Linked DNA regions of Macaca mulatta. The main gene of each other region encodes a partner of the protein of the gene in region 2 in a complex. Links are inferred from orthologs where the notes say so. Each region holds a gene or a part of one and is shown on either strand. Other genes may lie near its edges.

Evidence for each region. The genes of interacting proteins can lie anywhere in the genome.
Region 1: the proteins of IPO13 (region 2) and EIF1AX are in contact, whole or in part, in a crystal structure (PDB 3ZJY), measured with the Homo sapiens proteins. The link is inferred for Macaca mulatta from reciprocal best matches to the Homo sapiens genes IPO13 and EIF1AX. Residues at the interface, in NP_055467.3 of Homo sapiens: Tyr365, Asp369, Leu372, Asn936, Lys937, Arg938; in NP_001403.1 of Homo sapiens: Leu42, Arg82, Lys88, Tyr106, Gly107, Glu108.

Annotation. Positions count from the first base shown.
Region 1 is NC_133426.1:19,873,815-19,877,560, forward strand, and holds the start of EIF1AX (eukaryotic translation initiation factor 1A, X-chromosomal), read right to left. Parts: upstream 2,769-3,746; 5' UTR 2,581-2,768; coding exon 2,565-2,580; intron 1-2,564. UniProt on the Homo sapiens protein: Component of the 43S pre-initiation complex (43S PIC), which binds to the mRNA cap-proximal region, scans mRNA 5'-untranslated region, and locates the initiation codon. This protein enhances formation of the cap-proximal complex.
Region 2 is NC_133406.1:196,705,999-196,709,720, forward strand, and holds the start of IPO13 (importin-13), read right to left. Parts: upstream 2,831-3,722; 5' UTR 2,194-2,830; coding exon 2,110-2,193; intron 414-2,109; coding exon 1-413. UniProt on the Homo sapiens protein: Functions in nuclear protein import as nuclear transport receptor. Serves as receptor for nuclear localization signals (NLS) in cargo substrates.

The sequences.
Region 1 (3,746 bases), on a different chromosome or scaffold from region 2:
TTAGGGGGGCCTCTACAATTTCCTGACCCGCTCAGAGTCCTTAGAATTCAGTATCTGAGGCATTCTTAGGGAACACTGAAACTAATTTCCTAGAAAGAGAAAAGTATGAAGCCATTAATCATGCCAGATCTGCAAAACAGAGTGCAAGCTCCTTTAGGGCAAGATCATACCTGCTCTGTTTCCTGAGTTATATACCTGAGTTCACTAATTCTTCAAATGAATTGGTCAAGAATAGTCCATACATTCCTAACGGAGTGGTGAGTTAAAAATCATAGGCAGTAACTTCTTCAAAGTGTGGGAGCACTATACCCTAAATGCTTATAAGTGGGCCAAATGATACCCCTTTTCCTGATTTGAGGATGGGTTTCTAAGAATTTCTAGAATAAGTTGATATGAATCAATCCAAAGCAAAAGTCACTTAACACATAGTATGTGGCAAATTTTACCCTTACTTGTGTAACCACAGCTTATATTCACAGGGCTTCTGGATTTTCCAATGCAGAAAAACAGAACAATAAATGACTTTATTTCTACATTAGTAAAACCTATCTCAAAAAATTCAGGGGTCATGAAAAGTACCATTCCTCTAAGTAAGATAACTAAGAACTGATTGGTTTCAAGACAGTACAGGAATGATAAACACCAAACTCAGCCTGGTGATAACCTCCAAAAAGAGAGTAAAAGGTGATTAGGGCTTTACCTCAATTTGCGTTGTAATTCTTAAATTCAGAGTTTCCAGGTTCTGAGAAACCCCTGGGTTCCCAGGTCCATTATGTTAGCTGTATTTTTTGTATGCCTCAAATATTATTTAAGAAACCATTCATTACTTGTCAACTTACCAGAATTAACCATACCCTGATCATTCCCCTTTGTATTTTATTGCCATGTAATGGGATGTTCTTTAAATTCTCTGTTGAATGAATGAGACTAGGTCTGAGTGTACAACAATTAAAGTGACATCAACATTCTTTAAACCAGAGTTGTTTTGGAGAAATTCCCAGAGAGGCTCTTTCTTAAGACATGAGGCTAGGGAACTAGATGTGATTTAGTGTAGAAGTCCTATCCCCTTGGAACCAAAGCAGAACCTATTATTCACCTAAGGGTGGAGTTGACAGGAGGAAGGTGACTTAAACCAACAAATATTTATTGAGCATCTACTAAGTGGCAAGTGCTAGCAATCGAATGTGATTAAGACAGATACTATTCCTGCCTTTTAGAGCTTACAGCCTGGTGGAAGAATTGAAAATCTTATTACTAGAAATAAAGGTGAGAATAAGATGGAAGTGATCCCCTTACCATCTCAGAGAGAATAAAGGATTATACAGAAGAAAACCTAAGACTTAAAAAATTTTTTGTTTATAACTCGATCTTTTCCAAAATAATGAGCAGTGAAAATCCTTGCTACAAAAAGTTTGATCTCCGAGGGCAGCAAGGTGGAGAGCCCCCGAGAGGACTGCACCAACTTGTGCACAGAACACCCTGACCAAGTACCCTAAGGGATAAAGTAATAAGTGACAGCTACAAAGAGGAAATGTGGTAGAATTCCTGGAGCCAGCTGTCAAGCAGAAAAGAGAGCAGAAGTAGGCCTGTGTCAGGGAAAGATTTCCTAAGAATGAATAATCAAAGGAGACTACTTATGGACTATGAAGTATGCTCCTCTCCTGTAGGAAAATACAATATTTTCCCTATATTTACTTGCACAATTTTCTTCAACAAGTTATAAGGCTATTAGAAATGACAGGAACACTGTAAATCTATAAAAGTAATTTATTTAGAAGTGTTACGCCTTTTTTTTTTTTTTTTTTTAAGATTAGGCCTTTCGTTTTGGAAATCCCAAATAAAGTTATCCTTAAGTCTGATCATTTGTGAATCCTTAGCCTCAGAATGGAGAAAACTTAAATTAGGTCTTTATTCTCACAACATATGCATGATCTGAAGCAAAAGTAGAAAACTTGGCTAAATATGGAATAAGTCTTCAGCAAACAAACATAAGCTATATCCTGTAAAGGGATGGAGAGAGTAAATCTCTAGAAGTGAGCCTTAGAAATGCATCAAGGTTTCACCCACTGTTCACAAGGGACAACGAGTAGCCTCAACAATACTGAACTGTCCATAAAGAGATCCATGCAGGAGTACCTGGTGCTCACGAACGCGGACAGCACTCTTTTAAAAGTTCAGAACGGCTTCCAGGGATTAACCCCTCATGCCCGGGAAGGCCAGATGGGCCTATCTACTAAGCCTAGGCCGCCCGGTGTAGGGTTCCCGCCACCATCGCCACCGAGCCGCGGTCAGTCTGGCGCGAATCAGGAGCAAAAGCCCATTCTCCCGCAGGAGGCCCTACAAAAATGGCGTCGGCTCCACCCCAATGTGGCCAAACTGGGCAACAGGAGTTTACTTCCCAGCTCCTCTCCCGAGCTCAGAGTCGCGTGTGGGGCGCCCAGCCGCGGGCAGGTAGGGTGGGAAGGAAAAAGGGTCACTGCGACCTGGGTGACCTGCAATCTACGGGCAGGACCTGGGAAACTCGGCCGAGGAGGGCCGTGGTCCGGGGGTCCGGGCGGCATTACCTTTATTCTTGGGCATGGCGGTGGCGGCGACCTCGCGGGGTCTCTGACTTCTTTCCGGGTAACGGCGACCGAGGCGGTTGCTGCTCCGAGGGGCGACACGAGGGAGCGCGCGGGACCAAGGAGGTGCTGGAGGCTAGGCAGCGTGCGCGAGAGAGGATCGCAACCGAGCTCTTCAGAGATCCGCCAGCGTCCACGCTCGGCGGCAGCAAATGGCGTCGCGACTGCTTGCGTCGCTTTTCCCCGCCTCCCGTCGCCGGCTGGGCCCGCCCCCTAGGCTTTATGGCGCAGGCGTGGCCGACTGACCCCCATTGTTAGGGCCGAGGCAGACGCGTTCTGGGGGGGTGCGCAGCAAGCCGGAGAGGACGCGAGGGGCAGGGCCGCAAGCAGGGAAAAGGCGGAGTCAGGGAGGGCGGGGGAGAACCTCTGCGTCATAGAAAAGGGCGGTTTGAGGTGGCGCTCGCTGCTGGTTAAAGCCAGACCTCTGCTGCTTTGTAGCAAACGCGCGTCTCCCAGTTTGACAAATGGTTGACTTGTTAACCTCATGGTTAGCTCAGTTTTAAAAATATATATATTTTTTAATTTTAATTTTATTTTTTGAGACGGAGTCTTGCTCTGGAGTCGCCCAGGCTGGAGTGCAGTGGCGCGATCTTGGCTCACTGCAACCTCTGCCGCCCGGGTTCAAGCGATTTCCTGCCTCAGCCTCCGGAGTAGCTGGGATTACAGGCACGTGCCATCACGCCCGGCTAATTTTTGTGTTTTTAGTAGAGACGGGGTTTCAGCATCTTGGCTAGGCTGGTCTTGAACTGCTGACCTCGTGATCCACCCGTCTCGGCCTCCCAAAGTGGCCTCCCAAAGCCACCGCGCCCGGCCAATGTTTTAATTTTTTTATTAAGACGGAGTCTTGCTCTATCGCCCAGGCTGGAGTGCAGTGGCGTGATCACGGCTCACTGCAACCGCCACCTCCCGGGCTCAAGCGATTCTCCTGCCTCAGCCTGCCGAGTAGCTGGGATTACAGGCATATGCCACCATGCCCAGCTAATTTTAGTACTTTTAGTTGAGACGGGGTTTCGCCGTGTTGGCCAGGCTGGTCTCGAACTAGTGACCTCAACTCGCGCCTGCCTCGGCCTCCCAGAGTGCTGGGATTACAGGCGTGAGCCACCGCGCCCAGCCGGTTGGCTCATA
Region 2 (3,722 bases):
TGGAAGAGTCGTACCATATCTGCCACAGCACATGGCCAAGCGTCAGGCATCATGCTGAGAGCCAGTGAGGCCAGTGCCACGCACAGCCGAGTCAGTACAATCTTGGAGCCACTGGCAAAGCGGGTGATCTGGGTGAAGAGCTGTGCCTTTAGGCTTTCATACTGGTCAGTGGGGATGTCACTCCAGTAGCGAGAGATCTTGATGTGAAGAGCACTGGCTCCAAAGTACTGGATCTCTGGTACCTTGTCAGGTTGCAGTAGCTGCCAGCTGAAGTGCCAGGCCTGTGGGGAGACCTGGGCCTGCATCAGCCACTTCTGAGCCAGGTTCTTGTTCTCAATGTTGGGGTCATAGTAGAGCTGGTGCAGCGCCTGCAGGACAGCACAGGACTGAACAGGTGCTGGCCACTCTGGATCCTGCCAGAGCCCAGAACAGAGGTGTGACTTGGTCCTGCAAGGGTGCTCCCTCTCCCTGACTGGGGGGCTGAGCAGGGAGAGCTCAGGGCTCTGCAGTGTTTCCTGGGCCTGGGGTCCTGCTGATATCTTGAGAGCCTGAACCTTGTTCATGCTCTACCATATCCTCTTCTCCTTATAGCAAAACATTATGGGTTCAGAGAGGGAATCTCCACAGGAAAGCGAAAAAAGAGGAAGCTGATCTCCCCAAAGGGGAGGCACTTGAGGGCAAAGCCCAGGTGGAAGGAACAGCTTCGCAGGGATGAAGCTAAGTCTGAGAAGGGCATGGAACAGCTTGAGGGGACTTGACCCTCCCAGGCACAGCTGCTCCCATCAACTCCAACAGCTCCTTTCAGCTCCCCCAGGATCATCCCTAGGTCACTCCAGATGCTGGCACCAAAGCCAGTGTGAAATCAGAGCAGGACTAAGACTTTTTCCAGGCAGCCCTGGGGCACAGATATACTGGAGGGGAGGGTGAGAACACTCCTCAGAGGGCACATGTCCAACCAACTGATCCAGAGAAGCCTTGGCCATAGCTGCAGCCCTGGCAAACACCTCGCCTAGTGCTCTCCACTAGCAGAATCCCCAGGGTCTCAATTCCAATGGGACTTTATCAAGTAAGAAAACAGTGAGATTTATCTCCCAATAGCACATGGAACAGTGCGCCACCATGCCAACACTGCCCTGCTCCAAGGGGTGGGAGAGTGTGGCCAGGACCCTGACCCTTAATCAGGCTCCATCCAAGTAGGCTTAGCTCTATTCGTACCCCTGACAGCCAGTTATGGCCATTGGCCCTTGTTTGGCCCCTCAGGGATGCCAAAGCAGACAGAAGAGATGCATCCTCATTATTTGTTATGGCAAACAGGGTTAAGGATAACAAGTGAGCATCTGCAATCATTCCCTGCTTTCAAGTAAGGGAGCCCTATCTCCCCATTCATCCCAGGGTGTATGCATTCCTGCATTTCAGGTTGTAGGGAGCAGATACAAAAAAGAACTAAAGAGGCAGTTCAGAAAGATGGGCTGGGCAGTGGGGGAGCCTGGGAGGGCCATGGCAGGGAGCTATGTGGGCAGGTGAGTAGGGAGGAGCCCTGTAAGGCTCCCAGCTGGGCCAGGACCCTTGGACTCAGCACAAAACAAAGGGAGACAGCCCCAGGCCTGCCTGCTCAGGACTGGTCTGGCTTCCATCCAATAAAGGAAGGACCCTTCTTCAAAGAGTCGAAACAACCCAGATTGTTTTAGTTCCAGATCATTTTCTGAGCCCTTGGCTCAACAAAATCAGGTCCAGGATGGTTTGGCATCAGGATAATTCCAGGAGACTGAGCTGCAGGTCTCCTGGGTTCCCAGTTTCCTACTGCACTGCTCATGCAGTTCCCATGGAGCTGGAAAATAGCCAGTCTGGATGGGAGGCTAAGTCACAGCACCCTGAAGGGACCATCCCAAGACCCTAGAGTATCTGTCCACAGGGGACCTGCCTGTAAGGAAAGACAAAAATAGCCCATTAGGGCACTGCAATACTGCCTGCCCAGATAGACAGCAAATGCCAGGTGCTCTGGGGGCACCATACCAGCGGGCACCCAGCCCAGGCCTGAGCTCTGCCATTAGTGACAGTCCCCAGAACTTCTGCTCTGTCACTGGAGTGCCCACCCCAGAGCCCTCATACCTTCTCCACGTTCTCCACAGTGAAGTCCAAGGCTGGTGCTGCTCCAGCCCCTGCAGCCCCCGGCTGCTCCTCCCGCCGCTCCATCTTTGCTCCCTCCCTGGCAGGGAGGTGGGCCCTGATCTGTCTCCTGCCCCAGCCCCTTGGCTGCTGGCCCCCTGCTAGACCCCGGCTTGGGTGCCCAGGGAGTGGTGGGGTGAGGGGGAGCCCAGGGCGGGCATGGCTGCCGAGGCCTCCCCACCTCGTTTGGGGGTGGGAGGCTTGCCAGAGGCCAAAAGGGGTGCTCTTAGGAGACCCAATGAAAGGGACTCCGAGGAGGGAGCCGTCAATGAGGAGCTCTCAGGCAGGGATCCTAGTGGTAGGTAACAGCTCTGTCCCCAGAATCTGTGTGGAGGGAGTCACTGGGGAGGGAGGCCTGCGGGGGAAACCAAGTCCCTGGCTCTTGAGGGGTCACAAGGTCGATGGCCTGTACCCACAACACCCCCGCCTGGGTGAGCTCTCGGGTGCTATGAAGAGGTCATGGGGCTGGAGGGTCACGGGGGAGAGAGCCCTTCGTGGTTACGGAGGCGTCCGACGAGGCGCGGAGATGCAGCTCCGCGAGTCTGGGGCGAAGAGTCCGTGGAGTTGAGGGGCTGTGGCAGGTCCCTTCCGTTCGGCCTGGCCCGCGCTGTTCTCACCGCCCCGCTACAGCCCAGCTACCGCCGCTGCCTCCGCCCCAGTGACTGACAGACAAGCCCGCCCGGCCGGGACGGGGCAGGGACCTCGGCAAGGCGCGGGCTGCCCCGAGCGCCTGTCCCCGGCACCGCAACTCAGGCCCCCACTCTCGCCAGTTCTGGCTCGGCACGGCCCGGCACCGCCCGGCACGGCCCAGCGGAACTGCGCGGAAACTCATTCCGGGTCTTTAGCCCTGTCCTCGCGCCAGTCCGCGCTCCCCTGAGCAGGCGGTGGAGCGGCACGCCGCCCCAGGCCCCCGCAGAGTCTAGGCCCCGCCGCTGTTCACCCTGGGAAATGTAGTCCATGTTGCGCCTAGCCGGAAGGCGGCGCCCTGCGGAGGAGGCCGGGAGCACGTGGGTTGGGGACCTGCAGAGCCCCGCCTGTCCTCGGCCTACCGCGGCCAGCAGGCATTCCGGGTCAGACCGGCGCGGGGCGCTGCGGCCCAACTGCTTAGTAGGAGAACGTGACTCGAGGGGCCCGAGGACGGAGGTGGGAGCCCGGGCTAGAGGGTGGAGGCTGGGGAGGTTGCCTGGTGGCTCTGGCGCTCCGCTGCGAGGGCATCCTCCGGCCCAGCAAAGGTGCAGCCTGGGAAGAAGGCGTCAGCACCACCCAGAGAAGAGGAGAGGGGACTTGGCACGCCTCAGGAAGGAAAAAAGGAAGGTTCTTGGGACCACCCAATAAGCAACCGGGAAACCACATACCATGGACAGTGCTCGGGGAATTTCGTAAGGTTTTTGGAAGTAACTTTATGTGTAACTAGAATAAGAGTAGCTTACATTTAAGTGCTAGGAGCAGGACTTTGCATACCTTAGGTTCAGTTTTCTTAGTAGCTCTGAGCTGGGTATTTTTATTCATCGTTTTCAGATGAGATGAGGAAATCGAGCTTGGGGAAAGTTAGGCTT